Lonchura striata: one gene and its partner. The protein of the gene in region 1 purifies or fractionates together with the protein of each later gene. This does not show direct contact. Links are inferred from orthologs where the notes say so. Each region holds a gene or a part of one and is shown in the gene's direction. Other genes may lie near its edges.

Evidence for each region.
Region 2: the proteins of NKX2-1 (region 1) and FOXA1 purify together in Homo sapiens (affinity purification with western blotting; 3 studies listed by BioGRID and IntAct, with this or other methods). This does not show direct contact. The link is inferred for Lonchura striata from reciprocal best matches to the Homo sapiens genes NKX2-1 and FOXA1.

Annotation. Positions count from the first base shown.
Region 1 is NC_134608.1:24,781,583-24,796,915, forward strand, and holds NKX2-1 (homeobox protein Nkx-2.1), read left to right. Parts: upstream 1-9,058; 5' UTR 9,059-9,101; coding exon 9,102-9,468; intron 9,469-10,238; coding exon 10,239-10,909; 3' UTR 10,910-10,938; downstream 10,939-15,333. UniProt on the Homo sapiens protein: Transcription factor that binds and activates the promoter of thyroid specific genes such as thyroglobulin, thyroperoxidase, and thyrotropin receptor. Crucial in the maintenance of the thyroid differentiation phenotype.
Region 2 is NC_134608.1:24,214,012-24,229,603, forward strand, and holds FOXA1 (hepatocyte nuclear factor 3-alpha), read left to right. Parts: upstream 1-7,284; 5' UTR 7,285-7,523; coding exon 7,524-7,595; intron 7,596-9,989; coding exon 9,990-11,252; 3' UTR 11,253-12,560; downstream 12,561-15,592. UniProt on the Homo sapiens protein: Transcription factor that is involved in embryonic development, establishment of tissue-specific gene expression and regulation of gene expression in differentiated tissues.

The DNA of each region.
Region 1 (15,333 bases):
TGTAACTTGAACCTAATTCTATGGTCAGCTATTTTTTGAGTAAGTATAATATGTGCTTTCATTTATGACAGGGCAAAGATGAGTGAAATTTTTAACTTCATTATGTCTATCATCCAAAGTAATTTAGAAGATAATCCCGCTACATGGAGACTCTTCTGTACTACAATGCTAATAATTACTAATGTCTGGGAAAACAGAAAATAGAGCTGCTAGCAAGGACTTGTTTTAGCATATGTTTCAGGATTTCTATTTGGATAGAAAGTGATGTTCTTATTCAAAGATAAGATACCTCTGGACATTGAGAAATTTGTTGGGTGTATTTTTTAGGTTACAATACAAAAAAGCTTTGGTTTTTCTTCCCAGCCCTTGGTCCTTCAACCCAACTGAACCTCAAGCTGAATTACTTTCTTTCCTTCTTGATGATCAACTCCAGGAAGAAAGGTTCTGCAAGGCTGAGTCCATTTTTTGTTAAATCTGGGAAACCTTTCAATAAACCCTCAGTTGCAATGGAACTGTGCTACCCATCCCCTAGAAGTATGGGACCCAAAGAATCCTGCCAATGGATAGCCAAAGGGAAGAGAGGTTGCTACCAGGACACAACAGAAGAAGACATGGACATCAGCTGGTTACAGTGAGAGCCATTTAGGAGCAGTTTGTTCTTCACATAGATGCAAGGGTGAGAGATCTCTTTCCAATCTTGTAGTTTCTTTTCTGAATTACTGGTTCTTCTTGGGACAAGGAAAAGGTGAAACATTTTTATGAACATGTTGCTTCAACTTCCTTGGCAAGAAAAACATCCTATATTTTACACTGTGCAACTCATATAAGCAAACGTCTTTGGCAGAGTGAAAATTACAATGTTTGAGCAAAGATATGGGGTGCTTGTAGTTACAGAAAAACACAGATGCCCATTCATCCCAGAAAAAATTTGGTCCTGCAAATAGTTGTAACTCACTATTCTCCATTTCTATTTCTTGTATAAAATACAGGAACTCTGCTATGTATGACAATACAGGTGCCACTTGTGCTGGACTGAGCAAGCCACATACACTGCTTTTAGAGCAAACTCTGTGACAGATGGAGTACTGCAGGGTAGTCCTGCTGATGGAACCTGACCTGGTTTGAGATGCCTGACCTGTAGACTTAGAGATGATGGGAGCTGTTGTCAGAGTTGTCAAATTCCTGGCCCGGGTTTCATGGCCCAAGAACCTTTCCTGACATGTATGTCATGCATATATCCATCCCACTGTACAATAAACTTTTGAGACCCTATTTACAGCAAGAAACAGTTGAAAGACTGGTATTTGAAACTGAACTAGCTGAAACTGGTAACTGAACTGAATCCTTTCCTGGCAAGAGGAATGCACCTGTTAAATCAGCACCCTGGACCATATATATATACATCAGTAACTGCTTAACAAAACCCAGCCCCAGAAACAATGCTGCAGAGTACAGAGCTTTGTTAATGGGTTTGGTAGCAGGACCAATAAAGTTCATTGTTAAGTTTAGCTACAAATGGCATCCTTTGTGCTGCAGCTTTTTACATCAGCATTTAACTAGACCTACCAGTTGTACTAGCCAGACTGAGGGCGTGATCTTCCCAGAGACACTGGTTCCCATGAAATGAAAAACGGGCTTCTGAAACATTCTATGTTTGCCCTTGTCCCTCTGAAATGGACCTCTTTGCTTATGAGAGATTTCTGTGTGCTCTCTTGCAGGAAACAAACAGAAGAAAATCAAGGAAGAGTGAGCATTGATTGTTTTTTTGGTTGGTCGTCTGGTTGGTTGGTTGTCTGGTTGGTTGGTTGTCTGGTTGGCTTGTTGGGTTTTTTAAGACTTGGGAAATGTTGATGTTTAAGGCTCACATGACAGATAAACAAACCACCTACCACTCTGAGTGGGCAGCTGGGTCACTCTGGCCCTATCAGGCCAGCTCATTGATTCATGTCAGCTCTACCTCCAAGGGCATCAGCCCCGGATGGCATTTGCATCTTCAGTTCCCACACTCAGAGAAGAGTGGAGAGCAATTGGGCTGCTCCTGCAGAGCAGGGACTGAGAGCAGCCCTCATGAGATGAATTCCTGGGCTACAAGCTCAGAAGGTAGGAAGCAGCTGCGAAAGAGGCAAAGTCACTCCCAAAAGGCAGTTTTTGAGTGAGAATCTTTTGTGTATATGACCATCAACTAGCAAGAGCACAATTTGAAACTGTTTGACTGTGCTGCTGTAAAGTAAGATTTAGGAACAGGCACAGCTGTTAAACAGTGCCTCTTGATCCAGGAACAGACAAATTTCACTTTCCCAGGAGGGGGAAGAATCTTCCTTAGAGGCAGAGCTACCTCTGTGGGAAGCTGTTGAGAAGGAGCTGCAGCAACAGGGAAAGAAGCTAATCCTTCCCCCTAGATTTGGAGAAACGCACAGTGAAAATGGACGAATATCCATGAAATTACTTCCCAAGGGCAACTGAGCAAATTCCTGTTCTGTTTCCTCATTGATATGATTTTGCCTTGGCTAGGGCGAAATTTCAGCAGCAATAGCAGCAAGTCGACAGGCCCAGGTGAGCGCCAGCGCCGGCGGCCCGGGCCGGCGCTGCGCTTTCCCCGGCGGCCAGCGGAGGGAGGCCGCCGCAGGTCCCTCCGCCCCGGCGGGCCGCCGCACCGGCCCCGGTGCGTCCCGCCGCTCGGCTGGCAACGCGTGCAGCGCCCACCTTCTCCTGGTGGCCCTTGCCCAGATAAAAAAGCCAAGGGCACAATGAGACAGATGGCAGCTTCCTGCCGAATTAAAGGCACCGGGGGAGCTCAGGTCAAGCAGCAGACGGGGGAGTAGAGGAGAGGCAGAAAAGAATTTGGGGACAATAATCAGAGCACTCGGTCGCTCCGAAATCAGTGTCAGCAGGGCATCCGCAGACGGATGCGCCTGTTTGCGCGGGATCCCGGACTGCCGTGGTCGAGCACCGGATGCGGCGGCCCTCGGCTGGGTGGCTCTGCTGGGCACCCAAGGGCAACGAGGAAGAGCCGGGGTTCCTATCAGCCCTCCTGTAACTTGCCCTCGAGTTTTGCTGTGAAAACAAAAGCAAAACAAACAATTCCATTCTCCCCGGCACGAAAATAAAGCTCGGGCACCACACGGGCTGGTCGAAAGGACTCCATTGCCGTTTTTAAATGAGGTATCTTTGAAACCGCTAGCCCTTCCCCGAGCCAGCGGGGAGCCACCCGTATCCCTGGTATCGGGGAACAAAAGGCAAACTCCGAAGTGACATTGAAAATAAAAGAGAGCTTTGGTTACCCCCAGGGTAAGGTCGAGGCGGAAAGGTCGCCTGTCCACCAGCGCGCACACTGCCGGCGGGCGCGGGGAGCGCCCCGGGCTCGGCCCCGTGCGCCGTCCGCGCAGCCCCGAGGGCGGCTGCACAGGGCAGGCTGCAGCCCCCCGAGGCCCGGAGCCACGGGGAGGGCTTCGGCACCAAACCGGGGGGCAGTGAGCAACGAGCCCCCGCGCCGCCCGCCGCCGCCAGCCACCTGAAACAAAAAAGGTCTGAGGAAAATCAAACTGCCGGGGCCGACCCCCAGCCCGCCCCTCCACTCTGCACCCGCAGGCACGTCCATGTCCGTCTCCCCCGCGTCCAACCCCACCCGGGAGCCGAGAGCCCCTTTCCCGGCGCCGGCGCGGCCACAGGCCTGGGAGAGGGAAGGGGAAGGGAGGGCGGCGAGGTGACCCACTTAAAAGCTGAGTTCCTTTTTGAAACACTTAAGAGACGACAGGGTTGAGGACTGTGAATGTATGCGTAAATATATACTCACGCATACCCGCTGCCGGAGGTATGCACCCCCACGCTTGTATGTGTGTGTGTAGGCATGTCTGGGAACACACACAAAAGCACATGACTCCTAAGATAGCTAATGTAATATACTAATAGTTATACCTAAAAGCAGATAAATAGATAGAACCCGGCGGGATTCTGTTCGTAGGTATATACCGATTAAAAGTATTTTATAGCTAAATAAAAGGTGCTTATAATTTTAACTATCTCTACAGGCTAACTTTTAGCAAATTGTCTCAACAACCAGCTTCAAGAAATCCACTGCATAATCACCGCTGTCATGGGTGTATCAAAAACGCTTCAGGGCAACAATAAGTCTTGTATGTCGCTGTTGCGGCAGCGACAGTCTACTGACACTAAGAATGCCAGATGTGGAGGGCTTATATTAACTGCTGATAATTTCGGGAGAGGCGATCAGACAGTAGTTCACACATCGGGGCGAGTGATGCTGCTATCCACCCGAGACTACCGGGGCACCCATGTCTACAAAGAGCCCTTTCCCGCGGGTCCCCACGCCGTGCAGCCGCGGAGGGGCGCGGTGTGGCTGGCCGGTCGAGGCGTGCCCCGGGGCCCCGCCGCCCCCGCCCTGGCACGGCGGCCCTCCGCCCGCCGCCGCGGCTCCGGGAGCCCTGCCCTGGCACCCCGTACCTGGCCCCACCCTGGCCCTCTTGGCCGGGAACGGCCCGGCGAAGGAAAGGACGGGGAGGGTGTCGAGGACTAGGGCAGGAGGGCTCAGCCGTCCTCCAGCAACTGGGGAAAGAGGGAAAAGAGCAGAGCGGAGGCAACGCTGCCCTCCCTCGCACAGAGCTTTGCGAGTGGGGCCGCCAGGCACCGGTGGCGAAGGGGCCCCGAGAACCCCCAGCTGCGAGATGCTCCACGCCCTGGGTAGCTGGAGGAGCAACTGTGCGTGCTCTGCGGAGGGGTGAGGATTTTCGTTTTAGCCTTTGGTGGTCTCGCTGGTTGCCTTAGGTTCCCACGCCAGGGGGAGAGGTTTCGCCCGCTATACCGAGGGGTTTCTCCCACCCTAACGAGAAAACCAGGGCAGGGGGGCTTTCCCACAGAGAGGAATTGTCCCCATGAGCCACAAAAGGCGTTTCCCCCCCCACACACACACCCAGTGCGCTCCGTGCCTAGGTAGGGCTCGCAGGGTGCGTCTCTGGGAGGACTCCTGCCTTCTTACACGCCCAAGCATGTGCTTTCCAGGCGGGAGCGGCTCCCAGCGCCCTGCCCGCGGCCGGCAGAGACACAAGTCCTCCCTACACTATCACTACGGAAACCTCCGCTCCCGGCGTAGGTGTGCTGGGCACATCTTCCATTCTGGGGAGCGTGGGGAAACAGAGGGTGTATGAGCTCGTTCAGAGTGGGTCGAGAGGGGCGAGTTGCGGCAAGCTGCCTCGGTGGTGCCATTTTTCCAGGCGGTCATTTACATCTCTCGATGTAAATATATACATATACTGATATATACTGATGACCAGACGCGAAGAAAGCTCTCACAGATCTACTCTTGCCACCTCCAACTCGGACCTCTCTAGGAGCGGCTGGCCCCGCCGCAGAGCGCTGCTCCCGCGGCAGGACGGGCTGTACGGCCGCGGGCAGGGCCGCCTTTCGGCGCTGGGCGCTGGGGCGGCAGGGCTGGGCAGGGGGTGCAGCTAGACGTGCACCCGTGAACTGATCCAGAGGGAGCACGGAGCACCTCATGGCTTTGTATCAAAAAGTTACACCTAGAAAGCGTCTTTCTTGTTGAGAAAGAATTTGCGTGCGGTTTGCGTGGGACCCTTACCCTCTGCCCTCCGAGCCCTCCGAGCTCTGCCTGGCCGAACATATCTGATTCCCCTTGGGGAGGCACAGCAGCTCGTATAAAAAAGACATTGTTGTCTTTGGAGAGCCCTGTGCGCACTTTCAAAAGCTGATTCTTGAGTTCCCAGCCCCCGCAATCCAGTTGATGAGGAAACGCTCTGCGGTCTTGGTGGCACCGTTTCCATTGGGATTGGCACCATTTGATTGACAAAGTCTCCCATTCTTCCACCTCTCGAGTGTTATCAAAAGGATTGTGTGGGGTCAGAAGCTATTGAAGGGACGTCCGTGTAGCCGCATTTCTGCAAACACGGGGTGAAAACCGTGCCTTTCTCATGAAAATGCTTCCACCAGGCAGAACGCATCTCATCTTCCTTGCTCTCCTCCTTAGCATTTCTTTTTAACTCGAGTGTTTTACTAAGCAGCATCACCAGGTAAACGAACATTTCTTTAAAGGCAGCTTAGGCAGGACTCCGTCGGGACGGCCACCCTCCCTGGAAGCTGGGAGCAGCCATCTCTGGTAGACAAAACTTCGGTGGAGGCCTTGAAAGAAAAGAGAGACTGAAGGGAGACGACACCAGCGAAGTTTTCTCGCCCCTTGTCCATGGTCTGACTTGCCCTGTTATAGCTCATTTGGGGCAGGAAAGCAGGTGCAGAGGCTGACCTCTTTACACCGCGTCGATCTAGCCGGGCTAAAAAGTAGCTGGACGTGGCTGTGCCTGTACGCGCGCCGGTGTACTCCTAACTCAGCGGTCAGGCGTGCACAAGAGAGTTCCACCCGCTTCCCAGCAAAGGTGAACGGAGCTCTCTCGCATTAGCTTCCCTCTAGCAGACCGCGCGCAGAGCCAAGGCCCGACTCGCTCGGGATAACCTAAGCAAGCAATGTTTCGGAGGCGATTTAACCCGCGCTCACTCGAGTGAGAGGATAAATAAGCTCTGGCAGGCGCAGCCGGCGGCCAAAGGGTCGCTCGGGCGGCGCTCCGGGCCGGGGCAGGCGGCGGGGAGCCTGGCCCGCCCGCGGGGCCCGAGCCCCGCTCCGCGCCGCCGCCGCCGGAGCTGCTGCTGGGGCCTGCCCGCCTGCCCCACCTCGCTCTCTTGTGGATGGGAACGGGGTGTCTGCTCCTGCCCCACACGTTGCGCGGTCACTTGCCGCCTTTCGCCTCTGATTAAAACCGACCAAGCCGTCGTTTTGGTGGATCCTGCAGTATTTAAGTTTTTTTTGCTTCCACCCATCCCCTTCTTTTAAAGGTTCATGAAAGAGGCATGGGGATGGAGTGTCTGAGAAATTCGGGGTGAAAAAAAACAACCGCAAACCCCAAGCAAGCAAATCACTAAGGCAAGGTCGAGTCTCTCTCTCTGTGTAGGAACAAAACCAAAGACCATACTCAAAAATATGCGCAGAAAAGGGAAAATCCGGGGCGAGGGAGGAGGGTGCGGGGAGGTGGGGGGGTTGTAAAGAAATGTTCCAGAGATCTGTAAAGGAAAGATTTAAAGGTTTTAAAAGAAAAGAAGAAAAATAAGAGGTAAAAACCAATCGCCTTTCTAGCCCAAAATCGCCCTTCTCTGCCTTTGGTGACCCAGCAGACTCACAACCAGCCCACTTCGGGATATTCAGCCTTGAGGGAGCTAGTGCCGAAAGAAGCAGCTGAGATGATGTAAGAGAGCTGGAGGCCTGATTGAAGGAAAGTTCCCCCGATTATATTTGTGTGGAAAAGCTCACCTCTTGCAGAGCTCTAAAGTGTAATCAAGACTGAGGCTTACACTTGAAGGATGTTAACTCTCATACGGGAACCTACTTTCTCCTAAACGGTTTCTTGCCTAGTGAATGAGAGCCTCCCAATTGAAGCAAAATGATCCTTATGTACTAATATCAAGCACAGCCACAAAGCGACCGGCTATTTATGCTGCCACTTTAGACAAAGATATTTAGTTATTCCCGGGTAGCAAGTGCACTTTTGCATTTTTAAGCACGAACTAGCCGAGCACAAACATATTTACAAGTGCAATTACTAAATAGTTACTTGACACTTCAAAGTCCCAGGGTTAACTGTACCTTCGCTGTAATTTTCTTAATATTCAGGTAATCGCTGTATTAAATTGTGGTTGCCAGGGCCGTAGGCCGGGGTGTGAAACACTCGGGGGAGGTTTCTCTCTCCGCTAGGATCACCCCGAAATATAAGCTTTGGAGACACCAGACGCTGGAAGATTTCTTCAAAGACCCGAGTGACATTAGCTACTGGCTGCCTGTACGTGTGCGTGTGGCTGTGAATGGATCGCTTTTGTTTTCACACCGGATCCGAGAACGATCCGAAAGTGCCAGAAATTGCAGTTTATTAGAAACTACAGGGAATTCATTGGCAAGGTCGTGTAGCAGATGACCGGAGAGGTCTTCTCCATCCAGCTGCCGTGCTGTATAAATAACCTTAGAAAGCAGCTTCAGCTTCAGAGGGACCACGAAAGACTGTGAGTCTTTGCCTTTGAGAATAACAAGCGACATTTTGCGCTAACCTATTTTTCATCGGCCTCTCGTCCCAGGCAATTAAATTACTGCTTGATTTTGCAAACTTGTGGCTTCCACCCCTCTCTGAGATATTAAAAAAAGAAAAATCCCTAGCTGAAAGGAATTTGTGGGTTTAGGGAGACAAACGATCCTTGCACGGAGTGTCTTAGGAGACATAGAGAGTGTTCCCGAGATGCGAAACCCCAAGCGCTTGTTCAGCCCCAGCCGGCCGGGACATCTGACAAGCCAGTGCGGGGAATGCGGGGCGCGGGGAGCTGTGGCCCCGAGAGAAAGATCTGCCCTCAGAAGAATTGTCCTCCCGGCGGCAGGACTCCTTCCGGACCAAACTTACTGGGGGAAGAGGGAGATTCTGTCCTCTGGCTTACTGGCATTCCACCCCGTTTCCCCAGCTCTCACAAAGGCTGGTCTGACAGCCTTGCCACCCGGGAGCTGTTTTTAAATCCTTTCACCCAGTCAAATGGTGGTCTTTTTTGCTTTGCCTTCCATTTCCCGTCCACGATATTGTAACCCCCGAGGAAAAAAAAAAAAAAAAAAAAAAAAAAGAGTTGTGCTCACGGGGTCTTTTTTTTTTTTTCCCTCTCTCTCCCGTCCTCTCTGTCTCTTTTTTTTTTTTTTTCCTAAAGACATAAAAAAATTCTGACAAGTAAGACTTAAAGGTGTTTACCTTGTCATCAGCATGTAAGCTAATTATCTTGGGCAAGATGTAGGCTTCTATTGTCTTGTTGCTTTAGTGCCTATGCCCCGCCTCTGGTGGCAGCCTAAAACCTGGCGTCTGGCTAAAACAAACGAAAGGCAGCCCTGAGCCTCCACTCAATCCAATTAAGGCGGACTTCGTCCACTCGGTTACGTGTACATCCAACAAGATCGGCGTTAAGGCAACACCAGAATATCTGGCAAAAAAAAAAAAAAAAAAAAAAAAAAAAAATTTGCCTCCCCTTCCTTTTTTTTTTTTTTTTTCCCCAGCCGCCGAATCATGTCGATGAGCCCAAAGCATACGACTCCTTTCTCAGTGTCTGACATCTTGAGTCCTTTGGAGGAAAGCTACAAGAAAGTGGGCATGGAGGCCAGTAACTTGGGGGCTCCCCTGTCAGCCTACAGACAGTCTCAGGTTTCTCAGCCGGCCATGCAGCAGCACCCCATGGGCCACAACGGAACAGTGACTGCCGCCTACCATATGACAGCGGCAGGGGTCCCCCAGCTCTCCCATGCTACGATGGGGGGCTATTGCAATGGGAACCTGGGCAACATGAGCGAGCTGCCGCCTTACCAGGACACCATGAGGAACAGCGCTTCGGCGACAGGATGGTACGGCACCAACCCGGATCCCCGCTTTTCCTCAAGTAAGTCAGCTCGGGGCTGGGTGGCCGAAGGGGGCTTGCCGCGCAACTGCCCCGACACGCCGCGGTCAGAAGGCACTGGGGGTCCGCGACAGGGCAAAAGTCGGTCTCAAACCCAGCCGCGCCCCCCAAACCCCAAATTCCCCCTCCTGCCTAGGATCGTACCCGGTCTTTCCACCACGGCTGGTTGCATGTCAGCCTCCCGCGGCTGCTTTTACGGGGCAAGGGGGTTGGAAGGGCGGCTGTGGCGGGGAGCGGGAGCCTGGCTCTCGCCGTCCAGCGGGGCGGGAGCCTGGCGGCCCGGGGGCCCAAAGGGAGCCGGCGGTGCCCGTCCGCCTGCGCGCCGCCCGGCACATGGGGGGGCGAGGGGGGAAGCCGGAGGCGCCGGGGCCGCGTCCCGGGAAGCGGCAGGGGAGCGGCAGAGTCCTCTTCGGCCGGCGCCGGCGGAGCCGCTGTCCGCGGCCGCTGCCGCCGCGGCTGTCACATTAGGTACTTTCCCGGCTGTGCCCCCGGGCAGGACGAGGGGTGAGTGGTCGCCCTTATTCACCGGGGCTGGGCCGTGCGAGAAGGGGGCCGCCGCTCGCCCCGGGGACGTGAGGAGTCGTTGTTTGGAAGCGCGGGTGCCCCGAGGCCGCGGCCGGGGCTGGGCTGCCGGGGGGCTGCGGAGCTCCGCTGGGGCAGGCGGCGGCGGGGGCTGCCGGAGCGCGGGGCCCCACTCGGGCCGGGCCGGGCCAAGCCGAGCCGCCTAAAACGTGCCGCCTTCTCCCTTGCAGTCTCCCGCTTCATGGCGCCGTCCTCGGGCATGAACATGGGAGGCATGGGCAGCCTCGGCTCCCTGGGAGACGTGAGCAAGAGCATGGCCCCGCTCCAGAGCACGCCGCGGAGGAAACGGAGGGTCCTTTTTTCGCAGGCCCAGGTTTACGAGCTGGAGAGACGTTTCAAGCAACAGAAATACCTCTCCGCCCCGGAGAGGGAACATTTAGCCAGCATGATACATCTCACCCCGACTCAGGTCAAAATCTGGTTCCAGAATCACCGCTACAAGATGAAGCGCCAGGCCAAAGACAAGGCTGCGCAGCAGCAGATGCAACAGGAGAACGGCTCCTGCCAGCAGCAGCAGTCTCCCAGAAGGGTGGCAGTGCCAGTGCTTGTGAAGGATGGCAAGCCCTGCCAAGCAGGCTCCAACACACCCACAGCAGCTATCCAGAGCCATCAGCAGCAGGCAGCTACAACGATCACAGTGGCTACCAATGGCAACAGCCTCGGACAGCATCAGAGCCACCAGACAAACAGTGCGGGGCAGTCTCCAGACATGGGACAGCACTCGGCCAGCCCTTCCTCTCTGCAGAGCCAAGTCTCCAGTTTGTCTCACCTAAACTCTTCTACTTCTGACTATGGCACTGCCATGTCTTGCTCCACCTTACTATACGGTAGGACCTGGTAAAAGGATTAAACAAATAAAAAGGGGAAAAAAAGGCAAAAAGAAAAAAGAAAAAGAAAACCAACAAATTTTCCCAGTTACACAAATCTCTGTCCTCTCCAAACTACTGTGTGCTTTTTTTTTTTTTTTTTTTTTTTTTTTTTTTTTTTTTTTTTAATGTTCTCCCTTTCCCCCGTTTTACTGAGTGGTCTCTGCGGACCTCTAAGAGAGAGAGAGAGAGAGACACTTTTTTTGTTCCATTTTATTGTTACTGTTGATGGTTTTGGGTCTTTATGTTTTTTGTCCCCCAGATTTGTCCTGTGGGGTGTATAAAAATATTCAGACTAATAACCATGGAGCAGTCTGCAGAAAGGGGACCATCTTAAGGCATGGTTTGAAGACTTGGATATCAGATGTACACTTTGCCAGCGTCTAGGACTTGCATGTAAATACAGAGATTTTGGGGGATGGGGTGGTTTTCCCCCCAAAAATACGCATTCGCGTCACCCAGACACAAGAAGCAGCTTCCCCCTCCCCGGTCTCTCCCAGCCCGCCACCAGGGCCAGCGGATGGAGACGTGGAGTCATCAAAGGCTTGGCTTTTATTTTCCTCCTTACGTTTGATGTGAACCTGTAGCTGTATAATGCTGTCAAAAGTTGGACTAAACCCATAGTTTTTAGTAGCCTGTATATTTTGTTGTAAAAAGAAAAGGAAAAAAATACAATCAACCAAACAACCCCCCACCTTTTTTATGGACACTGATCACCCCGTCGTAAATCCTCCGGCAGTTTGTTATTTGCGCACGCCGCCTTTTCCTGTTGTAACTTATGTAGATATTTGGCTTAAATATAGTTCCTAAGAAGCTTCTAATAAATTATACACATTACGAATATTCTTTTTTATTTCCCCCTTTGGTTTCCCCTCCCGACGCTCCTTTCCTTACATCTTCCTCCTTTTTTTCCCCCCCTTTTCCCCCCTCCGCCCCCCTCTTTTTTTTATTCTTGGTGGAAAAACACCCCGGGATGTTGTCAGACCCCGGAAGGCCCATGCCCCTCCCAGGGCCCAGACCCTATTCCCAAAGGAGAGCTGTGCCAAAGGGTTAACGGGTTACAGGATCAGTCCTCAGCGTGCAAAGAGGACAAGCAAACGTTTGGGATTCACGAACTCGAAACCGAAGGAATCAAGTCCAAATTCATTAGCCCGATTATTTTTTGGGGGATGAGGGCGGGGGGCACCTCAGCGATTTCTTGCTAGAGAAAGAAAAGTATTCCGGGACTAGAAATTCAAATGCCAAAGGCACGGAGGAGAAAGAAGGTAAAAGTCTAACGCCATTAGAAAAAAAAATAAAATAGCGAAGAACCTGCTGTCAGTATAGAACGTGAGTCCGATTTAAAGTGTCCAGTTTTAATACCTTGTAAGAAAAAAAAAAAAAAAAGAAAGATAATTTCTACCAGGTTTTCCTATGTACTTGTATTTTAAGGGAAGTACAGTCACCTTATTTATAATCAAAATAAAAAGATAGTTTATTGTGTACAACATGTAGTTTGAATTAACTTTCTTTATCAGGCTGTGTTTCATTTTCTACATTTCCATATATTTAATTTTCTACATATCCAACCCCACACGGCCGCTCACGGGCACCCCACTTCTCAGGCGGAGGTCAGCCGCAGGCTGCGGCTCGGCGGAACACAGACGGGCTGCGGTTGGTTGGTATTGGGTGCTCTTTTTCGCGTCGCGTTGTTTTTCTAAGGGGGGATTGTTAGTTTGCTTGTTTGTTTGTTGGGGGGTTATTTTGCGGAGCTATTTGACAAGTTGTAAAGAAGGAGATGAGGAGAAAGTGTGTGCGCGCACGTGGGTGGGTCCGCATAGGTGCGCGCCGGGCTTAGACACAGAAGGTAAAAACTATCGGCAATGCGAGGCGGTTAGACGGTAACTTTCCTGTAAATATATAAAGCATATGAAGCCAAACAGCTCGTGTCTGACGAGTCCGAAATCCCCGTAATTCTCTATTTTCAGGTCCCAAATATCCCTTTTGCGAGTGTAGCAAATTAAGAAGTATTCTTCTTCTAAAAGACCTCGTAGCGTGTTTTCCTTTGCATCTGCTGCTCGGTTTCGTTTTTTATCCTAATTCCATAGAAAGCGACCGCAGTCATTGAAACAACTCTGAATTACAGAGGGGTTACGAAATAATAATATTTTTGAAGTGAAAGAAAACAGGTTGCCTGGGATGGAAACAACCCAAATTCCAATTTAAGTAGTAGCTTTTGAAAGCTCCGGTTCTTTATTTATACAAGATAGCCGATGTTAGTCGGACACCAAGTGCTAGTCTGGATGGAGAAAAAGGGAAGTACACGGAAGAAAAAAAAAAATGTATCGGATTCTTTCCGACCCCCTCCCCCTTATTTCTAACTGGAGGACATCACGTGTGTCAACAGGAATTTCGAGACCTTTCATTCTTTAGGTTATGTCCTGATTTATACAGCGATATTCTTAACTAACCCAAAGATTATTCAAAATTTTTTTGTCCTTCTTCTGCTCAGAATATTCATTTCAGATCTATAGCATCGTGTTAAGCATGGCGGGGGGATGGGTGGGGGGAGCGGCAGTGTCTGGAGCTTAGTGCTGTTATTTCTGCTAAAAGAAGAAAGTGCTGGGGACTCCTGGACCGTGGTGCAGAACTGCCAGCTTCCGCGGAGGAAGCGAGGGCAGGGTTAACTTTAAGGAAGTTTTCAAAATTAGGGTTAGTTTCTCCCGGAGTTTATACGCAAGAACGAGGGAAAAGTGTATACATTTCCCCTTCATACGTAATTAATGTGCGTTCTTTCAAACCTAGGAATGTTCAAAAGTGAGGAGCACCGAAAGGCATTAATACAGCCGAAAAATATTACAGCCCCCGCCCCCGAATATTGGAGTTAGCATGTTTGATAGAGATCCAGTCAGTGACTTTTCATTATAGACTTCGGGGAAAATAAAGTAATTTTATTGTGTCTCGACAACCTCATAAACACATATTTGGTGGTGGGTGTAATTACTGTAATGGATTATTATGTACACTGACTTATCTTTCTTAAACTAGATTTAGTTTCGATTAAATAAACTCGTTTCCACTTTGTCTGATGTCGGCTTAGTTTAAAGTCTGTTTACTTGTTCCACAGAAAGGTGAATTCATCTCTTTATTAAGCACTAGAGACCGAGCAAACACAGTTCAAACTGTATTTACATATCAATCAGGAGAAATGCAAACAAACTGCTCTTTAACAATTTTATAGAGTTTTTTTATGACATTGTGATACTGCCTTTTATCATATATTTTTTTCAGTAAACTAGTTATGCCTTGATTAGGACGAAGATATTTGAAGGGAGGGGTGTAAAAACGGTTTAGTCTCCAGTCTCCCTTGAGAATACTCGTGAGAACACAGTTACTGTATAGCTTTTTAAAATTGAAATTAAAATATGTTCCTCCGTCTAAACTCCTGCTTCTTCCAATATGCTGGTTTCCAGTCTCCCGGTAATCAATGCAGAACTTGGATAATGGGATGGCAAAGGGGAGGGGCAACATGATTCAAATCTGAAATGATGGAAGAGATTCACGCTTCCCAATATAACTGCTTTATCCACGCTAGACCATGGGCACCCCGTATTTTGAGAGATAAAAGGATCTAGTGAAGAATGGCTATTCCCTCCCACTCCCCCACTGCCTGGCACTGCTAGTAAGTGTAGGAGAATCACGGAGGGCATTTTTTCCTGCTGTAAATAGGAATTCATTCTTAAGTTCCATGAAGTGTGCGTGAAGTGGCACAGTAGGCTGTGGGAGAAAAAAAAAAAAAAAAAAGAAAAAGAAAAAGAAAGAAAAAACAGCAGTAAAAACAACAAAAACAACCCCAAACGAAACCCCAAACGAAACACAAACCCCAAATAAAACAACAACAAAACAAAATCCCAAACCCTAACAAAACCATATCGCTACTACGGCCGCAACAGCAACAATAGCAGAAGTCTTTTTCATATGGGCTGCTCCATATCAAAACGGGCTGTGGGTTACTGAGTTTTTTATTTGTTTCACTGCAGTCTGTTAGCAAAAGGGATGCTTGGGAGGAAGGGCTCAGGGGAGCCGGGGGCGGCAGGGCTTGCCCCGGGCTCTGCTGTGGTGCGGGTAGCGGCGGACGGGCGCGCTGCGGGGTCACTGTACCTACGGAGCGGCAAGGGACGACGAGCTGATCCAAAAGTACATTGCCCGCATCTCGGTTCAAAAGGCAGTGCAGGGCCTTAAGACGGTGTTGAAAGTGCAGATCCCAAACAATGTAATCTGAGACAGCCCTGAGATGACACCAAGAGAAGTTGCTACGGCTGGGAGGGGAGGGGAAAAAAGTATTTTAGGAGTTTTGTAGCGCAGCGCAGGTAAAGGGTCCTCGCCGGGAAGGCAGCCCCTGTTCAACTTTTCGTGACCG
Region 2 (15,592 bases), about 570 kb from region 1:
GGCAAGGAGAGTTGTCTGCAGAGGCTGAAGTTCCAGCAGCCTCTAAGGATAATACCAGAAAAGTTTTAAAGGATTGCTAGGAATGGATGGATTTTGGAGCAAATATTCATAGATCCTGAAAAGGGGAAAATTGTTCAATGGGTAATGGCAAAGCCAACTGATGATCCATGAAATTGTTTGGATGCAAGAGAGGAGTTTTCTCTTTAGGAGGAACTGAAGGAAAGTTTAGGTGTTAGATTCCCTCAATCATCCCACATTAACACATAAAAAGGAGTAAACCTGAAACTACATGCATGGCAGAAACACTTAGGCAGCTGTCTTATTGGCTAGAACCCTTTCTAGGGAGGAGGAATTATTTAAATCTGATTCTTACCTTGTCTCACCTGTAGCTGCACAGAAAACTGAACCCAAGTGATGGAAGCCATGTGGTGACCTAAATAATCTTCATAATGTCAGTCTCTTTAAACTACTCAGCAGTTTTCAAATTCACCCTTGAAGTACTTGAAGCAGCAGCAGAAGTTTAGACCAACTGCTGGAATTATGAAATACTTCAAAATACTGAACAGCTTCTTCCCGTGGGAAGTCCTAACATTTTACTAAATCCAGACCTTCCTCTACTTTCCCATAGTCACTGGTTGACTATACTGTTTTATGGATCTCATGCCTTTAGGATGTTACCACTTGATACTCACATTCTCACATTTCAGAGTAAAACTACAGACTGTGTTAGGATCTCTGGTCATCCTTTTCCAGGGCAAGCATCATTTTTGCTATACATAGGTTAGTTATGTCCTGTAATGGAGTAAATGACCAGTGTTTGTATATCTGTGAAAATGCTGCTACACATCCCACAATTGCTCATTGTCCTTGTTAATACAGGACAAGAAAATGAGCTCAAGAAAATTCAGCTTGAATTAATTTATGCTCTAGGAACTGCAAGCTGGATAACACTGTGGAACTGCTCCCTGAGGAGGAGTTTAAATAGGCCAGCCTTTATTTTGAACATTTAATTCTTCAGAGCTGTCAGACAAGAAAGCCATCTAGAATGGATACCGGTCTCTCCCAGTGTTTTTCTGCAGAACTACTGCAGAGACAGAGACAGTGAAATAAATAGTTTTTGCAGGTAAAGTAGAAGATGGCAAACAATTTGAAAATATGTTGATATGCAGTGAAAGAAAGTAGCATTCCTTCACTCTCCATCACTCAAAATTAAAGGTATCAAACCAAGTCTACTTTCTGCATAGGAAAGTCAGTTTACAAAGGAACTGGAGTAGTATATGAAGATGAATATTACAAAGAGGTGATCAGCTCTGAATCTATAGTCCGATACATAGATATTGTTTTTTATCAGTAAAGCCGATATTCTCAAAGATAACTCATGCAGGTTTTGGAGAAAGAAGGCTATCAGAGCATGGAAATGCCTTTGATTCCAGAAGCAGATACTGTTGGAGCAAGGGAAGCAGATTTCGGTCCATTAAATTACTGGGGCAACTTTAACAAATAAATAATTCTAGAATTCATGCATAGGTGCATCTCCTATCAAGTGTTGTTTTTTGTACCAGTTTATTTAGTTTAACAGCACTCACTGCCTTAGTTTGCTTTCTTTGCTTCCTGCAAAAATCCATATATATCCTGAAACACCATTTTTGGAACCTGGGTGAGATTCTGCAAAGTGGGTGCCATCTAAGTACTTGTGTTTATCTGTGCATAATCATATTCCCATCTCTTCTGATAATGTGTCTTCCATGCCATAGTACTGTGGCTGCTTTAAAACAAGACACCCTTTATAACAAAATAAACCAAGCAAGATTTTCAAAAATATATCAAATAATTGAACAAGAATAGACACACTGATTGAAATACACAACAGAAGCATTTACATTTATGTTTCAGTATATCATAACATAAGTAAAACAAACTATAAGTGAAATAAAAACCTACATGGCTGATCTTGAATCAAAATTTAATTATCAACCGAATTTATTCTTGTAAAATTAAAGTAAAACACACTTGGTCAATCACATGCTGAAGTGCGGGCATTCTGCCAGCTGGAGTTCTGGAAAGGGCATACATACATCTAACCATATTAGCAAAAATAAACTGGTTGTTTATGATAGGTAATGATTTACCTAGTTACGAACTCTTTATTACACTATAGAAAAAACCTGAAAGAACACAAAACAGAAGCTCCCTTATTCTCTGTAACCATCTGATATCAACATCCATAATTTTTCATTTCATTATTTGTTCCTCTTTCTCCTTTAATTGGTCAGATACATGAGTATTTTCAGATGGTGGAATATTATTTGTTATGTTGTTCAAGTCTTATGATATCAGTTCTGCAGAATGCCTAGAAAATGAAATGCAATGTATTGCACTGAATATAAAAAAATAAAATAAAATAAAATAAAATAATAAAATAAAATAAAAAATAAAATAAAATGAAATAAAATGAAATGAAATGAAATAAAATAAAATAAAATAAAATAAAATAAAATAAAAAAAAATATAAAATAAAATAAAATAAAATAAAATAAAATAAAATAAAAATAATCCTGCAGCGGAATATCACTGTTGTAATGAGCAATGTCTGCAGGGCCTGACAGAGCGGCCATGGAAGGAGCACGGCCCTGAGACTGACCCGTGCGAGCCCGCGGGCCCGGCGCCCCGGGAGCGGCCCGAGGGCGCGGCCGCGGCAGGACCGGGCCTCGGAGGGGCCGCGCTCCCGCAGCCCCCGGGGCACTGCCCGGCCCCGCCGCCTCTGCGCCCGGCGGCGGCGAGGGCGCTGGAAACCCGCGGCAGAGGGCCCGGCAGCGGGCAGGCACCCCGCCAAGAGGGGTGAGACCCCCAGCCCTCCCTGCCGTGGATGGTGCGGCGGAGAGGGCGCGTCTAGTTCGCCCCGGAGAACCAGACCACGGCTCCTGGGGAGGAAGAGGTGCTGTAGGAAAAGGGGGTGCCCTACCTTGGGCCGGTCGCAGGAAGGAGGCCACTTGATGGTCACAGTCGAAGACTGGAAGAGTACTCTCACTTAGCAAAAGCTCAGAAGCAAATGATGACCCCGTGCAGTGCCCTCTCTGCCTGGGCCCTGCTCCCCAGGAGAGGAGGGTGAGAAGCCGCCTTTCTCGCCCGTGGCTCCGGCCGTGTCTGAGGGGACCCCCATGGGCTCTCCTACATGAGAACGGGAGCACAGAACCGGGGCGGCTGTGCCTGTGTGAGGGGCGGAGGGAGGGAAAACAACTCCGATCCGGCTCCTTCTCTGTGGGCTCCCCGCGGAAGGAGAGGCGCTACCGGCAGTCACCTACCCCCGCTCCCGGAGCACCCACGATCCCTCCCCGTCCGAAGCTCCGGACATGGGCACGTTCCCAGACGGTTACTGTTTGCCCGCTTGAATGTGGGAGGATTTCGGGCTGGAAATGGAAATAGACGGGAAGAAAGAGTTCCCATCGTGGGGAGAAGGTGGGGGAGGTGACGGGGTCCCACGATGTTTTCGGCGACCCGCTGCACAGGCTTGGGCCAGTCTGGAAAGCCGGGTATGAGGGACCCTGCGCAGGAAACAGATACGCGCAAACGAAAAGAAGGATGTACAGTATAGGGCAGGGAACGAATACCGATGCGGAGATAACCTCACAGCTCCTTCCCGAGCTAAACGTCTGGCCCGCGCAAGCACTGCCGAGAGAATCTCTTCCAAAAGACGATGGTATTTTGGATAAAATAAAGCCCCTGCAAGTCAAACCGAAGGACCGGCAGATGCTGCTGCTGCCAGGGGAAACAGACCAGAACGAACTGAAACAGCGCTCCACGTTAAAATTAAAGCTCCCGCCGCTTGCATCGGCCGCCCGGCCCACGCGTGAGAGAGAACCTGCGGGCGGCGCTCCCGGGCGGCGATGGGCGACCGGCGCCAAGGAGCTCCGGTCCCCGTGGGCAGCGCCGTGCCGGGGCCAGCTCTGCTCCTCGAGCAGCTGCGGGAAGCTCCTTCCCAGGGGCGAGGCCACTCGGCCCGGCCAGGAGGCGACGAGATTCCCAAAACCCAGACACTTGCTGAGTGGCCTTTGTGGGGCCCACCTTTTCCTGACGGCGCTGGAAACACGGTCTCCCCTGAAAGTCCTGCCCCCGCTCCACATACATATTTCCATAATTTTTAGGTCAGGTTTTATGTTTGCACCCTTGGTGCAAACAGAGCAAGCACACCGGTGGAGCCAAGACCCTGATCCCATCTAGCTGGGTAAAGCAGAGCTCACCTCAGCCTGCAGTTTCTCCAGTTTGCACTAAAAGCTCGCCCTGAAAAAAAATAAGAATCAAAGAAAGAAAAAAGATGAAACAAACAAACAAAAAGTGTACAGAAACTGGTGCTACTCGAAACAGAGCTGGGGAAAGGTACTGTGTAATTGGGACCAGCGCTACTAACCTGACTCCTGAAAAACGCATCATCTAGGCGCGACTGGAGAGCTCCTGGCTACTAACACAGCGTCCCGCATCCTAGGAGAGTGCTTCTGTGCTGACCCTGGTGCAAAGGATACTGATAAATCCTGCTGGACTCGCAGAGCATCCTACATAGGGCTTCACTACATAAAGGCTCAAATGCAGGGCAAGGGCAACTACCGAAATACCCGCTTTTTCCTGTGGCCGTGGGCAGAGGCATCCTAACCCTCTTCTGGACTTAAGGGAGGATTTTCTCCACCAGGGCTGCACCACAGCAACCGGGCTGAAGAGAATTTCCAGCAGCGGCTGGCTCTGACTAGGGCTTGCTTATTGTACGTCAGGTCGAGAGGCTCTAAGCAGATTAAGAGAAGATCCTGCCTGTGCTCTCACCTCTGGGAGCAACCTCAGGAGGGAGCTGAGCCCGCAGCCGGACAACAGGAGGCGCTGAGGCTTTGCACAACCCCCGGCTCTCCTCCCCTCCCGGGCAGCGGGCATCCCAGCCGGGGCGGCCTGGGGGCGGCCGGCCCGCAGGGCGGCTTTGCCGGCTCCACGTTTGCTCCGCCCGATGAAACGCCTCCATGGTTTGTAGCAGCATCCGATGAGCGTGGCCGGCTTTGTGCCTGGCCTTTTTTCCAGGTACAGGGTGACCCAGCGTGGGCTGCCCGGCGTCCCGTCGGGTGTTGCTCCCGCGGGGCTGGGCTCTGGAAAGCGAGGCAGCACCGCCCCGAGGTCACCCAGCGGGGGGGTGCCGGCAGCGGGGTCTCGGGGGCAGCCACACTCCTGCCAGCATGTCCGCATGCGGCTGTGCTGCCAGGGGGGAACCATACTCCACAGATCTCAAATACTGAATTGGGCAAGCCACCACCGAAGGGTCCCTGTTTTCAGACATATACACCGCTTCCATTAGGAAAAGAGTGGGGGTGCCTACATGAAGACTGCAATCTTAATATTTCTTAGGTATTCTATTGAGGTTTGTCCCAATTTCCATGGGTGTAGCTTGACCACTTGAGAAAACAGGGGTCTAATTCACTGCTTTTATATATTTTATTTCCTTCAAGACATATTTTCATATGCTGCTCTCCTCTGCTGATTCCAGAGTTTTGTTTCGAGGATTTGACTTAATTCTGTTGCCAGATTAAAAAAAAAAAAAAATTATGAGGAGAGAAAGAACAAAGAAAGGGGTAAGAGAAAATGCATTTAGAGAACAAGTTAAAACGTATTTGTCGTGGCAGAGATATGCTCTATCTCTGCTCTATCTCGCCATTTGAATCCAGTGTCTCTATAAGAAACTTTGAAATCCTGTTTCTGGGGCTATTTCCACAGACCACTCGAGAACAAATCACTGTGGAAGCAACTGTGGCCATGCTGAATGATAAACATGTCAAGCTGAAATTCAGACCCAGGTGTATATTATAGTTTGTGTGGTATGATGTGCAAGTTTTTTTCAAAATCCCAAGAAGCTTTATTTCCCCTTCAAATTTCCACTGTTGGAAAAGTTGTTTGGGTTTGGGGGGGTAGGGTTATTAGCTGCTGGTTGGTGATGTAGAATTTTTTTTTGTTTGTTTTGACTTTTTGGTTTTTGTTTTCTACTATGAGATGATAAAAGTTCTAGTAGCTACGTGAGAACGAACTCACAAGGGATAGGATAGAGAAACCTAAGAGAAGTCCGTGGTGTTGACATAGGCTCGAAGAGCCGGACAGGACAGAAAATGTTTGATCCCTCTGCAAAGACTGAGAAATTCCTCCCATAATAATAAAAAGCTTTTTCCAATGTCAGTTTGTTTTATCGGTGTTTTTTGCCTTTTACCAGCCTGTGTAGAATCCTCCTCCCCGGTTCGTTGTGAGAAATCAGGTCAGTAAGCAAGAAGTTGGAAATGAGATATACCCGCTACCTATTATTGCTGCTCCTGGACGTCTGGCATCAAAGAAAGCTTCCAAATGAGCCTTCTGGGCTGAAGGCTTTCCACAGTAAGGATATAAAATGGTTCTAGTGACTCACCTGATGTTTGCCAAGTGGAGGTTAATATCAGTGGATCCGCATTCAGGCCTCTGTCCGTATTTATTGGGAACCTGTAGTATTATGTCCTCAGCACGGTGACTCACATAGTTTCTGAACATAAGGCACCCGAAAAAGCAATATCATTATCACCATTTACATAGGACGGCACCCCGTTTGAAGGGCTGTTTTAGTCCGGAGGAGGAGGGTGGTGGGATGGGGGGAGGGTTGGGACGGCTTTGGGGGGCGCGGAGCCGAGCCTCCTGCTCACAGCCCGGAGCGCCTAATCCGATCCCCTGCCCCGAGGGCGATGGGAACGTGGGGCGCTGCGGCAGGGCCTGGAGGTACCTACGCGATAACCAGCTGTGAATGGACGAGCGGGAGAGGGGGGAACCTGTGGACTTCAGGACTCGGGACTTTGAAGCACGTCTCGGCCATCAAGTTAAAGGAGCATCTACCGGCCTTTAGTAAATATTGCCTCTAATCTCAGGGGTTTAAGGCTGGATGGCCTTTTGCATTCTCTTCAAATAGAGGGGGCTGCCCTTCCTTCATCTGCCTCATTTCATTTCCCCCTATCCCTCCTAGCATATGTCCTGTCCACCTGAAAGGGTGGTCGTGCCCGTCCCCCGTCCCATCCCGTTCCGCCCCCCGCCCCCCTCTGTCCCCCTCTCCCACCTCTGTCTCTCCTTCTTTCCCCACAAGCTTAAACCAATTACGCAGCTTTGCAAATAAAGTGCTGCCCCGGGGGGAGTTGCAGGCGAGGGGGACTGCCTTGTTTGCAGGTGCATCTCCGGCTTTGTAGGTGCGAACGCCTTTGTGCGGCGGACAAATGGGGAGAGGAGGAGGAGGAGGTGGGTACTTCTGCGACGTAAGATCCACATCAGCTCAACTCCACTCACATCCCAGCCGCACTTCCTCACTTTCTCAACTGTCTCGCCCCACACCGCTCCCTGCCTCCTTTTTGGCTGGTTATAGAGCAGAATTCAGCACCCCTCGCCCTTCCTGAGAGCTGGTTTCCTGCTAGGTCGGGCTTTCGGGCTCTTTTCCTACTGCCCGTCGCTCGCTTGCAAGAAGGCTGGATGGTTACACCGGGCAGGTTGGCTCCATAATGTTAGGGACTGTGAAAATGGAAGGGCATGAAACCAGCGACTGGAACAGCTACTACGCCGACACTCAGGAGGTGAGTAAATCCCAGGGTCTGGCTTCTCTGCTGCCCCTGTGCAGGGGAGGGGAGGACCTGGGGGTGGCTAGGGGTCTGGAGGGGGCAGCAATCGGAGGGATCGGTTTGCAGTACAGATCCTGCCAACGCAAACGTACCTCCCCCTCCCTCCGGCGCCGAAACTGGCTAGGCTTCCCCAAGGAAAACACAGCTTCCAGGAGCCCTGGAGGCGTTTGGGGAAGACACGGGGCGGCTGCGAGCCCGCCAGGAGGGCCGGGGGGCCGGGGGCAGCCCTTGATCTCATCTAAGAGGCGTAATATTCTCTCGCGGCGGGCACAAAAGCACCCCGAAAACTCTTGGCTCGGGGCAGAGAGCTCGCCGCGCCGGCGGCACCCGACTCCTTCCCGGCAGATGGCAGGGGCCGAGGGAGACAGACGCCAGCGCGTTCTGGTCGGGGGCAGCGGCTTCCCCCAGCTCCTCGGCGGGACCTCCGGCCTCTCTGCTCGCCAGCGCCGGGCCCTCACCTGTTAAAGCGGGGGAAAGGAAAGGAGGGGGAAGACCGGCAGTTTGTCCGCACTTTGCGGACGGGCTGCCCGCGGCGTGCGCTGCTGCCGCGGGCCGGCTGGCGGCGCTGCCGAGAGCCGGGCCGGGGGGGGCCCGCACCCGGACCCGCCGCCCCCCACCCGGACCCGGTCCGGACCGCCGCAGGCGCTTCCGCCCCCCGCGCCCCTTTGGCAGCGACGTCCGTAAGGCGGAGGAGAGCCGGCCCAAGCGCCCACAGCTGCGGCGGAGGAGAGGGCCGCGGCAGAGCCCGGAGCGCACCCCCGGCGCGCCTCGGCCCTGTGGGGCCTGGGGTCCGCGCTGTGCCGCTGAGGCTCCGCAGCGGGGGTCCCGGAGAAGCCAGCGCTCGGCAGCACGGCCAGCAGCACTGCGGATTCCCGCCCTGGAAGGAGCCGTTTTGAGGAAGTGAGGCAGCGAGGCAGGCACCTGGGTGTGCGCACCCGGGCATTGCATCAGCATACCCGGACACACGGCTCCACAGTCCCCACGCCTCGTCCCGCACCCGGAGCTGGCACACGCGCCCATAGGGCCACGCGGACAGAGGCCGATACGTGTCACCCGGCTGGCATCTCCTTTAATAAAGGAAAGTCGGCTAAGGGCAAACAAGGGTCATCCTAATTACGTGCCATTTCCAGACTCATTTTTCCTCGCTTATACGCATTGTCCACAAACATAAAGTTAAGGGAACTTCGCTTTTGCGATTTTTTTAAACTTCCATCTTTCCTCACCTCTTGCCATTTAATTTGAATAACTGCATGAATGCAACAGGGAAACCCAGCTGCGTTCTACCATCTCAAATATTTAATGTGATCCTCTAAATCAAAAGTGCGTTTATAAGTTCGTGAAATTTATTGGGATCAGAAATGAATTTTAAATATTTAACCGTTGCTTAAACCTCTTTTTCTTAGCCATATTAGCCGTATTAGTTCGAGTAAACTGGGAACGTCTTTCTCTCTCCTGTTAAATCAGATACCGTAGTGGAAAGCACAAATTCAAGCTCTCCGGCTCTGCCCTTTTTAAGAGTTATGTGTTTGGGTGCTTCAATTTTTTCCACGTCGTGCAATTGTAGAAAATCTCAGAGAGGAGAAGTTCAGGTTTTTCCTACTTTGGAAAAGTTTTGGTGTTTGATTGGTTAGTTGATTTTTTTTTTTTAACTTTAATTTAAAGACTATTTTGATAGAAAATGTAGGCAGGGGGAAGCTTTCCACAAATAAAACAGACCAAAAAGACCTGTTCCGTTTGGGTGAGGGTTTTTAAAATTATTTTGCAACAAGACATTATTCCATCTTGTATGTTTTTTAGGAAAGAAATTTAAATTATTGCAGGAAGGGAGACATGCGTGAGATTTTTCTCAGCAAATACAAGCAAACAATGTACATCCGCCAATTTCAATACTCTGATGAGTTTAAGTATTTAACTAGAGAGACAGGGCACATAAACAACAAAACACGGGAATGCGCTGGACACGTCCTGCCGGGGCAGTCTGAGCCCGCAGCCCGGCTCCGCGAGGGCTTGGAGCGGTTCAGGGAAGACGCTCGGTCCGTGCGCCGCTGAACCCGGCGCAGCCCGCGCAAGCTGCGACACGCCGGTAAACCGGGAGTGCGTCCGGAGAGAGCACCCCCGCTCCGTGTTCGTTTATAAATTTAAATAGATATGAAATAGACCTTTTCATGGAAGCAGCTGCCTTTCCGTGCTGCTTTGAGGAAGCGTTTTCCCCTGTGTCGGGGAAGCGGCCGGCGTCCCGCGGCAGGACGTTTGCACGGCTGGCTGGGCCGGGCGGGCGGATCCGGCCCCTACGGGGTCCTGCCACACCTCTCTCCTCTCTAACTCCGTCTCTTTGTCTCGCTGCCCTAGGCCTATTCCTCGGTGCCCGTGAGCAACATGAACTCGGGGCTGGGCTCCATGAACACCATGAACACCTACATGACCATGAACACCATGACGACAAGCGGCAACATGACCTCCAGCTCCTTCAACATGTCCTACGCCAACACGGGGCTGGGGGCTGGGCTGAGTCCCGGCGCCGTGGCTGGCATGCCGGCAGGCTCGGCGGGGCCCGTGAACGGCATGCCGGCCGGCGTAGCCGCCATGGGCACGGCGCTGAGCCCCGGTGGCATCAACGCCATGTCTGCCCAGCCGGCCCCCATGAACGGGCTGAGCCCCTACGGCAGCATGAACCCCTGCATGAGCCCCATGGCCTACACCCAGTCCAACCTCGGCAGGACACGGGACGCTAAGTCCTTCAAGCGGACTTACCCCCACGCCAAGCCGCCCTACTCCTACATCTCCCTCATCACCATGGCCATCCAGCAGGCACCCAGCAAGATGCTGACGCTGAGTGAGATCTACCAGTGGATCATGGACCTTTTCCCCTACTACCGACAGAACCAGCAGCGCTGGCAGAACAGCATCCGCCACTCGCTCTCTTTCAATGACTGTTTTGTCAAGGTGGCCCGGTCCCCCGACAAGCCCGGCAAGGGCTCCTATTGGACCCTGCACCCCGACTCCGGCAATATGTTTGAAAACGGCTGTTACCTCCGCCGGCAAAAGCGCTTCAAGTGTGAGAAGCCGGCTAACAGTAAAGCCACTCAGGAGGGCAGGAAAGATCAGGCTGGGGCCTCTAATTCAAGCTCCAACTCCCCCCTGCACAGAGGCCACAACAAACCTGCGCAGCTGGATACGGCCACCTCTCTCTCCAGCTCCAACCCGTCCACCAGCCCTCAGTCTATGGACCACAGTGGATCAAGCACGGAGCTAAAGACCTCGGCCTCGGCCGCCTCCTCCACCATCAGCTCTGTACCAACCTTGGCCTCCGTCCCACACCCCCCTCACTCATTAGCCCATGAACCCCAGCTCCACCTCAAGGGTGATCCCCACTACTCCTTCAACCACCCGTTTTCCATCAACAACCTCATGTCCTCCTCGGAGCAGCAGCACAAGCTGGACTTCAAAGCCTACGAGCAGGCGCTGCAATATTCCTCCTACGGGGCCAGCATCCCCGGCGGGCTGCCCCTTGGCAGCGCCTCCATGGCTGGCCGGAGCAGCATCGAGCCCTCGGCCCTAGAGCCCTCCTACTACCAAGGTGTGTATTCCAGACCCGTGCTAAACACCTCCTAGCTGTGCAACCCCCGCCGCCGGGGCCGAGACCCCTCCTCCCCTTCCTGGCTTCTCTCCCGCTTTCCCTGAGACAGACCAAGGTGTTTCCGCACGCTGCGTGCAAAGGACTGTTACTTTTTAATTGTCTCGCAACGCGTTGTCTGTTGTTATGATCCACCACGACCTCCTGCAAAGCCGGCCGTGTCCCGCTTGTACATATTCCCTCCGGCTGCCCAGCCCCTCTCCCCGGAGACCTCCCCAGCCTATGCAGGGTGTTATTAAAAAGAAGAAAAAAAATGTTGAGCGTGTAAACTACTTGTTTGTGCTTTCTGCCCCCTCGTCTCCCTCCCTATGTGTTCTATAATCTCATGTAAGTTTACAGGTATGTGGCAATACTTTAACAATACGGAGATGAAGAAGCGAGTAGACATTTAAGACTTTTTTTTAATTAAGAAGGCTTTGAAGGACAATACTGCTGTGAAGTAGCAAAACACTAAGAGAATCTCTAAGCAACAAGAGAACTATTTACTTTCTCGGATCATCCTTTTGATACTTGCAAAATAAACCTTCGGCTACTACAACCCACATAAAACCCAGATGCTGCGGGCCGGATCCTGCACTCCCGAGGGGACCAACTGGAGCTTTGGAGTGCAGGATGCGACCCTTATCTTTTTCCAAGTGTTACCTGTTTTGGGATGTAATATAAAGTTACAAGAGGTCACAACCAGTTGGATTTTTTTCCTCTTCCCATCTGTTACTGAAGATTCTAGTTCATCAGGAACTCTCATCAACATGTGGATGACATACTTATTTAAGTGTATTCATTGTATACCAGCTAGAACTGTGTATCTATAACCAGGTTATTTTCCCCCTCCTCTAGGAAACATTGACTACTACACTGATGCAAGGAAAAGAGGACAGCTCTGTCTCTCCCCCCTTTTCAAACTTGTCTAATATTTTTTTTTTTTTGTGGCCGTTTAATTATCGCCATCGTTAGCTTATATCATCCAGTGTTATTGCACTTTCCACAGTTTTACACGGTGTTAGCATAGCCAGACGGGTTTTATTATTATTCCTGTTCGCTGTTTCAATGTTCTTAATTTATTGCATGGTTTATATTGTTTTCTTTCTTTACAGCTGGAAATTGCTTTAAATGACCGTAAAAAATAATTACACGTGAATTTAAGAAATTTTGTTAATTTTATAAATGTGATTGTAATTGAAAAAAATATTTTGATTTAAAACGATAACTGAGAATTTAATGCGTGAAGTATGTTTTTGATCATTTGCAGTTAAGGACTTTAAATAAATCAAATGTTATCAATGAAATACTTCTGCTATTTTCTTACAAAATTTCTGGGACGGGTTACGGAGGACGGAGCCCTGTGCAAGAAAATCAAAACGTCGTGGTTAAGTGTGGATGTGAAGAGGAAAGATTTATTCGGCCAGGCTTGTGCAGAGGGAAGGCGGGGGACGCTCCCGCAGGGTATGCTTGTGGGGCGCTGCGATGCCACCGGCCTGTGAAGCTGAGTGTGTGGTAATGTCTTTTATTTTATTTTTTTTCCCCCTCCCTAATTCACGGTTCTGGGATATGGTGAGGGATGGCAGGAAAAAGCCTCCCGAGGCGATGTAACCTCCTGGGTGTTTTGCGGCCAGGGCTGCAGGGGCGGCGGCAGCCAGGCTCGGCGTTTCCCCGCCGAATGGGACGACGCCCACGGGGAGCATCCCCAGGGCGGCTCCACGCCGCTCTCGGCCGCTGGAAAGGCCCAGATCCCGCTTTGTAGTTCTGGCTCGGAACCATCCGTCGGAACGACACCAGCAGCCGCGCTGCAGAGCTCTGTTCCCCAGCAATAGACTTTGTCGGGGGAGGGGAGTTTAATTGTGAACGGATTTCGCTGTGCCGAGCCCCGTTCGTGCGCGGCCGCCAGATGAAAGAACTGTGTAATTCTCGTAATTATCACATAATTGCCCCCTGACGGGTTAGGGACAGCGGCGACAAACTAATTTAAGGTTCGACTTAGAAAAGAAAAACCAAGCCAGCATCCTAGAAATCTCACCACATCCCTCCAACACTACTACCCAGCTAAAAACGGGAGGGAAAAAAAGTCTTGGGAGAGGCTCTCTGCTTTGCAAAAGTGGCCGGATCAGCGGTGATCCCGGTCGGAGATGCGCGCACGGCTCTCCCGGTGACACGGAGCTGTCTCCCTCGTCGTGCTGTGCGGTGCCCTGGGTCGGGCGGGCGTTTACCGCAGGTCCTCCCCCGGCTGCCGAATGCGAGTCCTGCAGCGCGGGGGAGGGGGCTCTGTCCCCGTCGCCGTGTGCGGCCGGTTACCCCATGGCCCGACTGTGCGGCACCTTCGCTTCTGAATATCCCGAAATGGCAAACATCAACAGACCCCCCGCAGCCAGGGGCAGCTCGGGGCTGCTCGGCACCGGGTCTGGGCAGGCGGATCCTATTTAAAGCCCCGCTTCTTCTGCCAAAAGGAGCTTCGTGAGAATCGAGAGAGGATGAAGCCAATTTTCTTGTCTCCCACAGACTAGTCTATAGAGAATATGCTATAGCAGAGTGGAGACATTGATTTAATGCCTTGGGCTTATACACGGAAAATATCAATCGACTGACAGCGATAAGGCAGCAAGTTTCACATATCAGCTGAGGAGCACAGACCGTGTGTAATGGAAATATTTGGGGCGTGGGTAATAAAAGGGTTTAAGCGGACCGACGCGGCTCCAAACCTCTCAGAGATAAGGAGCGGAGCCTGTCACGGATGCAGCGTGTGCCCTTTCGCCACTCGCCATCAAGATTATATTCCTCCCCTTTCTTCTCGTAGGCAAATGCTGTCTGCGATGGAGAACGAGCCACTGACAAGACAGGGATGCAGCTCATGTTAAAAACGCGGGTCCCCGGCGCAAAGCACGCAGCATTCTGTGATCAGTTTAAGACCTGGCAATCGACAGCAGGGCGAAGAGTCCCGTTTTACATTCCACTCCTAGCTGCCCTGCTGCTGCTGCTGCTTTAACCCTGTGCTCAGGGAACCCCGAGCCACAGGGCAAATATAAGCTAAAAATGGGATCCACAAGAAGAGGGTGCATCCCCCCGCCCCGCAATGTGTATAGAGGAGTTTACGAGCGTCTCCTTCCAGCCGGACCGGTCGCTCTGGCGGGTGCGGGGCTTTTGCTCCTGTCAGAGATGGTGTCTTAGCCCCGCGTCCGGGACAGAGGCAAAGATGAAGCCCGCCAGGCTTCAGGTTCCAGGCTCCGACCGACGCCTCAATTTATAGGGGAACCTCGTCTTTTCCTGCTCGGCAAATTACCTCCGGCCGGCCACGCGCGGGGGAGCAAAACCGGCTCATTTAGCGTCATTAAATACAAGAGGGGAGTAAATCGGGGCGGCGGGGGATCTCTGTAAAGATTTACGCGGAGTTTGGGCGGTGAGGAGGCCCCTGGCCCGGGACGGGGGGGAGATGTTGGGTGCGCCGGCGGGGCAGAGGCTCTCGAGGCGACGCGGCGGGGACCCTGCAGCCGGGGCTCGGGGACGCGGAAGGGTCCCCTGGTGCAGCCGAGCCCTCTGCCGCGGCGTCCGGCAGTCCCCTGCTCCCCGGCAAGCGGGCACGATGTCCCTGAGCCCCCCACCCGTGGCACCTCCTCGGAGCACCTGCGAGCAGCACCTGCCCTTCGCAGAAGAGTCGGTGGAATAAAAGCTATTTCAGCCGCCCAAGTCAAGTGGGAGAAATAAAATCATAAGTAACTGCTGGGTTGTTTCCTGAGTCCGAATGGACAACACTGACATCTATATAGGCAAACAATCGGAGGATATACATTATTTGGAAGAAATAATTCCAAATGTCCGGGACTACGGAAAAACGAGAAAGAAAAAAAAAAAATGCCGGACAGTTTTTCATTTGATTCGTATTAGTGTCAATAAACCATAAGTAAAGCGCGAGAGAACGGTGCGAAAAAACACTTCAGCCATTGGCATAGCTTCAAAAATTGTTTTGAAATGGGTTGAGTAGGTATTGAAATTGGTCCATCAGCATAAACACTAAATAAATTAATTCCCTTGCTATAACGCCAACTAGTCTTTAGAAGAGCAATTGTCTCGGCTTTTTACAGAAATATTATAGATAAAACGCCTGATTACAATAACAATGCACTTCGCATGGTTTCTTTCCTGTTTTGATGAAACGGAATCTAGGCATATATGTGTGAGCATATGTGATTAATCACACTGAAAAATAACATTTTAAAATCAGAGACTTAATAAAGAAATAGATTTCGTGTGCATTTTCGTGATAAATTTAATTCATGAAGAAGCAAATTATCCTCATATAAACATGGGGTATGAAGTTCTCTCGAGAGGA